Linked DNA regions of Cricetulus griseus. The protein of the gene in region 1 binds, or shares a complex with, the protein of each later gene. Links are inferred from orthologs where the notes say so. Each region holds a gene or a part of one and is shown in the gene's direction. Other genes may lie near its edges. The genes, in order: Prkaa1 and Prkag1.

Region 1 (3,815 bases):
AGGGCTATATAGAGAGACCCTGCCTGCTGAAAAGGAGATCCCAAGTGGCAGGGCATGGCTTTAGCTCCCAGATGGGAAGGGAAACTGGTTCTATTAAATTGATGTTGTAAAATATCCAAGTGAGAAGTAGATTTGCATGTTTTAGGTATTTTTTTCATAATTAAAATCTGATAGAAATGCTACGCATGGTGGCACACAGCCATAATTCCAGTACTTGGGAAGCTGAAGGAGGATGGCAGTGAGTTTGATTCCAGCCTGGTCTACATGGTGAGATTCTGTCTCAAGACCAGTCTCCATTTGGAAACAAACAAATGCCCTTAAAATTACAAAACAAAACAAAACAAAACAAAAACAAGAGAATAAAATAATACTTTTGGTCAGTTTCTTAGACAATAACCATTATTCTTTGGGGTATTTTCTTCTGTGTTTTGGTGTTGTTTTCATTTTCATTTTTGTTTTTTAAGTTTTAGCATAGTTCTTGATATGGTTCAATATCCATTTATATGTGCAGTTAAATGATATAATAGGGAATCATTCAGAGAATAGCCTTTTGAGTCATACAGAATTGGGTCATGAGGATGAGGATAAATTTTATGTGTATGAATTGCTTAGCCTGAAACTAATTATACAGTAAGAAGTTTTTTTTTTTTTTTTTTTCATGTAACATGAGGCAGTATAAACAAGAGAATACAGTGAAGCTACACAACATAGTTTCTTTCTGAGCTGGAAAAAAATCTGTACTTTGTCATTGTCATTTGGGTAGACATACCTTTTCATTTGGCTGCAGCAATCCTTAAAAATTAGTGCCAGGGCCGGGCAGTGGTGCTGCATGCCTTTAATCTCAGCACTCGGGAGGCAGAGGCAGGTGGATCTCTGTGAGTTTGAGGCCAGCTTGGTCTATTGAGTGAGTTTCAGGACAGTCAGGGTTATACAGAGAAACCCTGTATTAATGCCGAGCCCCCCCCCCCCCCGCCGCCTCTCCCCCCCAAAAAAACCCCTAGCAGCAGGCTACAACATTTTTCTCAACATACTCAGTGAAGTATGAGCTAGAAGAAGAAAAAGTTAAAAAAAAAATGGTAGTAATATAGTGTGGGTAGAAATTAAATTAATTCATTTCTTAAACTCTTGAAAGTTATTGTTTTTATTCTTGGTTTTACTCAAAATTCTTCCCCTCACACTGCTGTTTCCTCTTAGGGAACATGAATGGTTTAAACAGGACCTTCCAAAATATCTCTTTCCGGAGGATCCATCATACAGTTCAACCATGATTGATGATGAAGCCTTAAAAGAAGTGTGTGAAAAGTTTGAATGTTCGGAGGAGGAGGTTCTCAGCTGCCTTTACAATAGAAACCACCAGGACCCATTGGCAGTTGCCTACCACCTCATAATTGATAACAGGAGGATAATGAACGAAGCCAAAGATTTCTACTTGGCAACAAGCCCACCTGATTCTTTCCTAGACGACCACCATTTAACTCGGCCACATCCTGAAAGGGTACCATTCTTGGTTGCTGAAACACCAAGGGCACGGCACACCCTTGATGAATTAAACCCACAGAAATCCAAACACCAAGGTGTGCGGAAAGCAAAGTGGCATTTGGGAATTAGAAGTCAAAGTCGGCCAAATGATATTATGGCAGAAGTTTGTAGAGCAATCAAGCAATTGGATTATGAATGGAAGGTAAGAAGGCAAGCATTCTACCTAACACATTTGGGAAACCTGCAGACAAAAAGTCTTTTGTAGAAGAATTGATTGGATGTGCCTTTGTTTTTGTCCATATCATATGCTAGGTTGTAAACCCCTATTATTTGCGTGTACGAAGGAAGAACCCCGTGACAAGCACATTTTCCAAAATGAGTCTACAGCTATACCAAGTGGATAGTCGGACTTACTTACTGGATTTCCGTAGTATTGATGGTATGTACACAAAAACCCATAGAGGTAATATGGTATACCTGTTTAACTAATTTGGTTTATAGTTTTTTCTTTTCTTTTGTTTTGAATTAAAACTAAGCATGAAAAGTAGTAAGTTCCTCCCTCCCTCCCTCCCCCTCCCCCTTTTCCTCACCCACCCATGTGTACATGGGGTGAGGGCAGCAGAGGTCAATGTCAGCTGCCTTCTCCATCACTCTCCATCTTACTTTTGAGATAAGGCCTCTTTCCAAACAGGAGGTTGCCCCTTAGGCTAGACTTACTGGCCTGCAAGCCCCAGGGATCCTCTCATTTCCAGCCTTCAGTGTTGGGGTTATAGATGTGCACCTCCTGGCCTGGCTTTTACATAGGTGCCGAGGATTGGAATTGAGGTCCTTATGCAGTGCGGCAGGCTCTTTATCTACCAAGTCATCTCCCTAGCCTCCAGTATGATACTTTCATACAGATACTTTGTTTTTAATCATCCTCCCCCACTGCCCTCTCCATCTTCAACCTTTGTGTCTAATGAAACTTCCTGGCTTTTTCCTGGGAAGTAATAGTAAATGTGACTTCTGTGCTCCATGACACCGACAACTGTGAATCCTGTTATTCTTGTTCCATGTAGTACATTGTTCTTTTACAGTTCATCATCCCGGGGCTAGGAATTTAGTTCAGTAGTGAAGTTCTTGTCTAGCATACACAAAACACTGTCTTCAATCACCACTCCCATCTCTCCCAAGGTAGAAAATGATTATTGTCCTGTAAAATCTTTAAAAATATACAGCTTAATTCTAAAGTGATAATTTTCTTTCATATTTCTGTTGCTTTGTTCATTCTGGCAACATAAATTTTTTATTGAAAAGCAAAGGTTGATGTTACTGTAGTTTTATTTACTATTAAGTACTTTAAGAAAATAAATACAAGATTATGGCTGTCCTTCCAAATCAGTTAACCAGTATTATGGGAGGATATTTAGAATTACTACTTACAGACTCAAAGTCAGCACCTACAGAGTTTAAGAAAGACAAAGGCTTGAGCTGTGATATATTCTGGCCAACATGATGGAATGGTTATTTACTTTTGAGAAAGGGTCTTCTATGTAGGCTGGCCTGGTTTGGAGGGACAGTCCTCTTTGTTTCATCTCTGAGTGCTGGTTACAGGTGTGCACCATGCTCAGATGTCTGGATAACATGTACCTGTCATCTAACACACATCAGTACAGTTTGAGGTCGGGAGCCAGCTTTATTTTTCTCTTGGTATTTAGATAATTTTGCAGTCATAGTTATATCAACTCTTGGACTTGACCAAGTGAATGAATACTTACTATTTCTATATTTCTGCTCTAGTACTATTTCTACTTGTATTCTGTTCCCAACTAGTTTCTCTTTGATTTCACTTTTAGTGTTACTTTTGTGGTGCTAGAGATGAATCCAGGCCTTTTCAATAAGCTCTAGCCCCAGCCCTCTTTTTACTTGTTATTTTGAAGGAAGGTCTCACAAGTTACCCAGGTTGTCCTTGAACTCTCTAGCTCAGGTAGGCCTTGAACTTATGACCCTCCTGCTTTAGCTTCCTGAGTAGCTGGGATTGAAGGCCTGTACCACTAGTCCCTGCTTTTCTGGTTTTGCTTATTGCAATTGTTGCTCTGTTATGCTCGCAGATGAAATAGGAGAAACTGCAGAGTGAAAAGCACTGAACTGAAGTTGGGAGGGTAGAGTGCCCAAATGGCCGAACCTTTCTGTTCATTTGTTTCCTTGAACAAATCATTGTTTTCTCTGGCTTTGTTTTATATTAGTAAAATGGTTCTTGGCTGAGATGATTTCCAAGATATCATCCATATTTCAAGAGATTGATTCTGTGCTTTTAATAGAAAAGACTTTTAGTGGTAGGGGATTTTTTTTTTTTT
Region 2 (3,815 bases), about 56 Mb from region 1:
CGCTATAGTACATAGAACATCCTAAGTATTATTTTGGAGGGTTGCCTTTCCAGTTTAGAGCAAGCAGTTAAAAAACACAGACTGGGGGCCAGGCGGTGGTGGCTCATGCCTTTAGTCCCAGCACTCAGGAGGCAGAGGCAGACAGATTTCTGTGAGTTTGAGGCCGGCTTCTTCTATAGAGCTAGTTCCAGGCCAGCCAGGGCCACACACACACACACACACACACACACACACACACACACACACACACACACACAAAAAAAAAAAAAAAAAAAAAAAAAAAAAAAAAAAACCCTGTCTAGAAAAACAAAAACAACAACAAAACCCCAAAAAGCAAAAACACAGGCTGCCAGGCATGGTGTTGCATGCCCCAAATTCAGCACTTAGAGAACTAAGGCAGTAAGTTTATTACAAGCTTGAGGCAAGCCTGGGCTACATAGCAAGACTCTGTCTCAAGAAAATGAAGGGACTGGAGAGTTGGCTCAGCAGAAGAACACTGGCTTTTCTTCTAGAGGACTCAAGTCTAATTCCCAGCACCCACATGGCAGCTTACAACTGTCAGTAACTTCCAGGGGTTCCAACAATCAATCACCCTCTTGGCCTCAACAAGCAGCAGGCACACATTTGGTATACAGATATACAAGTGAAACACCCATACACAGTACACACAGATTATTTTAAAAAAAACAAACAAAACCTTATAGTTAATTTTAAAAGCAAAAAAGGAAATTTGTAAATCAGGAGAATGGAGGTAAATGTAGCCAGGCTCTCCCTTTGGGATTTCTGACTCACACTGTGATTCTGAGTGTTCTGGGCAAGCTCATTGAACACTTAGTGTTGTTAGAAATGGCCTTTCCTGAACCATGAATTTCTCACCTGCAGATCTTCAACAAATATAAAGAAGCTTGTTTGGTATCTCATCTTCGTTAAGAAAAGACAAAGGAAAATATGTTAACTAGGAAGAAAAGCTCTAATGAAAAGATGAGAAACAATAAAAGCAAAACAAAAATCTCTTCAAAGCTGAGAAACTAGAACTCTTTTTTGGTTTCTGTCTCTTCTGATTGTGAGTTCTTGCATAAAAGAAAGACACCAACTTCCCAACTCTTCCCCCTGTGCAGAGACTCCGGAATCAAACAATGGTGTGTATACATCCTTTATGAAGTCTCATCGCTGCTACGACCTGATCCCCACAAGTTCCAAGTTGGTTGTGTTTGATACTTCCCTGCAGGTGGGTGGAGCCCCTTTCCTCCTCTGCATTCTGAGGAGCCACTGGTTCAGTGCCCATCATCATACTTAGTACTTCCACATGCCAACCCCTTCTTTCTCACCACCTCATGCTCTCACTCTTTTGACTATAGGTAAAGAAAGCCTTCTTTGCCCTGGTGACTAACGGTGTTCGGGCTGCCCCTCTGTGGGATAGTAAGAAGCAGAGTTTTGTGGGTAAGCAGAAGTTTCTGGAAGACGCCCGTCGGCATCTTTTCCAGTCAGAGGGAGAAGCCTTGAACAGTGCTGAGGGCTCTTGTCTTGCCTTCTAGGCATGCTGACCATCACTGACTTTATCAACATCCTGCACCGATACTATAAGTCGGCCTTGGTAAGGAACCTGAGCTTCCAAAGCAAACCACATCCCTATCTTTGGTTGTTGCCTATGGGCCCCTCCTGCCTTGTTTTTTTCCCTCCAAGAAAAGAGTTAATGAAGAGGGGAGAGCAAGTCTCAGATCTGCTGCTTCTGCTTCTAGGTGCAGATCTATGAACTGGAAGAACACAAGATAGAAACTTGGAGAGGTACATAAAGAATTGGAGGTTGTGAAAGATGAAGGGATAAGGAGGGTTTCCTGGGAAACACTTTTATGTGGCAGTGTTTTGTGAACTACCCCCTTTCCCTTCAGAGGTATACCTACAGGACTCCTTTAAGCCCCTTGTCTGCATTTCTCCAAATGCCAGGTAAGTTAAGTTCTGGCTATGTGTTTATGTCTAAACACCCGAAGGCCCATGGGAGGGACATGAAAGAAGGAAAACTTCTTCCAGTGCATACAGCTATGCTTTTTTTGTTTTGGAGAAAAATGTCTCATACATAGCCAAGACTGGCCTTGACTTACTACAGAGCTCAGGCTGGCCTGAATTTAGGATTCTTCTGCCCATCCTCATACTGGCGTTCCAAGTACATCACCACCCCCAGCCACATCACACTACTTTAAGTCTGAGCACTGCCCCTTCCCCTGACCATGGATGTTCCCTGTCCATAAGCACACTCTAAGGAGCTGTACAGTTTGTCTGTAGCACTGTGGAGGCTGAGTATGACCTTCTACCTTTTCACAGCTTGTTCGATGCTGTCTCTTCATTAATTCAAAATAAGATCCACAGGCTTCCAGTCATTGACCCAGAGTCAGGCAACACCTTGTACATCCTTACTCACAAGCGCATCCTCAAGTTCCTCAAGCTGTTTGTAAGTGGACTTTAGCCCAGTTCCTTAGTCTCTTATCTGCTGGATTGGAGGCATGTATCCAACAGTTTGGGGGGCCTTAAAAGTCAAGGCAAGTCAGAGTTTTGGGTACTGAGGATTGAACCCAGCACATCATGCTCTACCACAGAGCTCCCTGAAAGCCAGTACTTCTGAAAGCCACTTCTTCCCTCAGATCACTGAGTTCCCCAAGCCAGAATTCATGTCTAAGTCTCTGGAAGAGCTACAGATTGGCACCTATGCCAACATTGCTATGGTCCGTACTACCACACCTGTCTATGTGGCTCTAGGCATCTTTGTACAGCACCGAGTCTCTGCCCTGCCTGTGGTGGATGAGAAAGGTGAGATATTGGGAAAGAAGAGGGAGGTTTCTAGGGGGTCAAGTGGCTCTGGGAAAACCTGCTTTCCCCTCAGCTCAGCCTAAAGGGTGAACCTATGGGTAGTAAGAGCTTTGGCTACCAGATTTTTGTTTTTTTTTGTTTGTTTGTTTGTTTTTTTTCTGAGCTGCCTCTGTCTCCCTAGGGCGTGTTGTGGACATCTACTCCAAGTTTGATGTGATTGTGAGTGACAGTGGAGGGGCTGGGAGGGAGGAGAAGGGGGGGTGTTGAATGTGGAGAGGGAACAAAAGGGGGCTGGCTCTTTGGTGTCAGATGCTTCTACAATTTGAACCCTATCTGGACAGTAGCTGAATGGACTGGTTGTGGCTTGTGGGCAGAGCTAAGGAGTGCCCTCAGTTCCTCTAGTGAGGTTGGGTTGGTCCAGGGCTTAGGAACTGGTCCCCTTTCAAGCCCATCTCCCCACCTCCAGAATTTGGCAGCAGAAAAGACCTATAACAACCTGGATATATCTGTGACAAAAGCTCTACAACACCGGTCTCACTACTTTGAGGGTGTTCTCAAGTGCTATCTACAGGAGACTCTGGAGACTATCATTAATAGACTGGTGGAAGCAGAGGTAGGAAGTCAGCCCCTCTCAAGCAGCTAGTGGGGAGTGGCCTTGAGAGTGGTGTTTTCAAAGAGGGCAGGGGCTAAGGCACTCATCCTAACTGAAGTTGGCACTCACATTACTTTTCGTTGCTCTGTGCCAGGTTCACCGTCTGGTGGTGGTGGATGAGAACGACGTGGTCAAGGGCATCGTATCGCTGTCCGATATCCTGCAGGCTCTGGTGCTCACAGGTGGAGAGAAGAAGCCCTGAGCGTGGGGAGGGACAGGCAGCGCCAGGGAAGATGGCCCCCTCACTGCCTCCTGAGAGCTCTGGGAATCAGATGAAATCCTGGAAGAACCGAGTGTGTTCCCTCAGGAGCTCCATACCCACTGTCTGGAACTAGAGGAGACCGGAGGTGGGGGGGAGAAA

Evidence for each region.
Region 2: the proteins of Prkaa1 (region 1) and Prkag1 are in contact, whole or in part, in a crystal structure (PDB 6C9H), measured with the Homo sapiens proteins. The link is inferred for Cricetulus griseus from reciprocal best matches to the Homo sapiens genes PRKAA1 and PRKAG1. Residues at the interface, in NP_006242.5 of Homo sapiens: Ser295, Ser296, Thr297, Met298, Ile299, Asp301, Glu302, Lys305, Arg342, Glu347, Ala348, Phe351, Tyr352, Leu353, Arg369, His371, Pro372, Glu373, Pro376, Phe377, Asn449, Val451, Thr452, Thr536, Pro537, Arg538, Gly540, Ser541, His542, Thr543; in NP_002724.1 of Homo sapiens: His36, Asp40, Leu41, Ile42, Pro43, Thr44, Ser45, Val50, Leu64, Val65, Gly68, Val69, Arg70, Trp75, Ser77, Lys78, Lys79, Gln80, Phe82, Pro158, Glu159, Ser160, Gly161, Asn162, Lys170, Arg171, Lys174, Phe175, Leu178, Phe179.

The regions. Positions count from the first base shown.
Region 1 is NC_048595.1:339,153,986-339,157,800, forward strand, and holds part of Prkaa1 (5'-AMP-activated protein kinase catalytic subunit alpha-1), read left to right. Parts: intron 1-1,194; coding exon 1,195-1,681; intron 1,682-1,791; coding exon 1,792-1,918; intron 1,919-3,815. UniProt on the Homo sapiens protein: Catalytic subunit of AMP-activated protein kinase (AMPK), an energy sensor protein kinase that plays a key role in regulating cellular energy metabolism.
Region 2 is NC_048595.1:395,285,494-395,289,308, reverse strand, and holds part of Prkag1 (5'-AMP-activated protein kinase subunit gamma-1), read left to right. Parts: intron 1-1,118; coding exon 1,119-1,228; intron 1,229-1,358; coding exon 1,359-1,440; intron 1,441-1,535; coding exon 1,536-1,594; intron 1,595-1,739; coding exon 1,740-1,785; intron 1,786-1,889; coding exon 1,890-1,944; intron 1,945-2,319; coding exon 2,320-2,446; intron 2,447-2,636; coding exon 2,637-2,802; intron 2,803-2,983; coding exon 2,984-3,021; intron 3,022-3,268; coding exon 3,269-3,415; intron 3,416-3,548; coding exon 3,549-3,656; 3' UTR 3,657-3,815. UniProt on the Homo sapiens protein: AMP/ATP-binding subunit of AMP-activated protein kinase (AMPK), an energy sensor protein kinase that plays a key role in regulating cellular energy metabolism.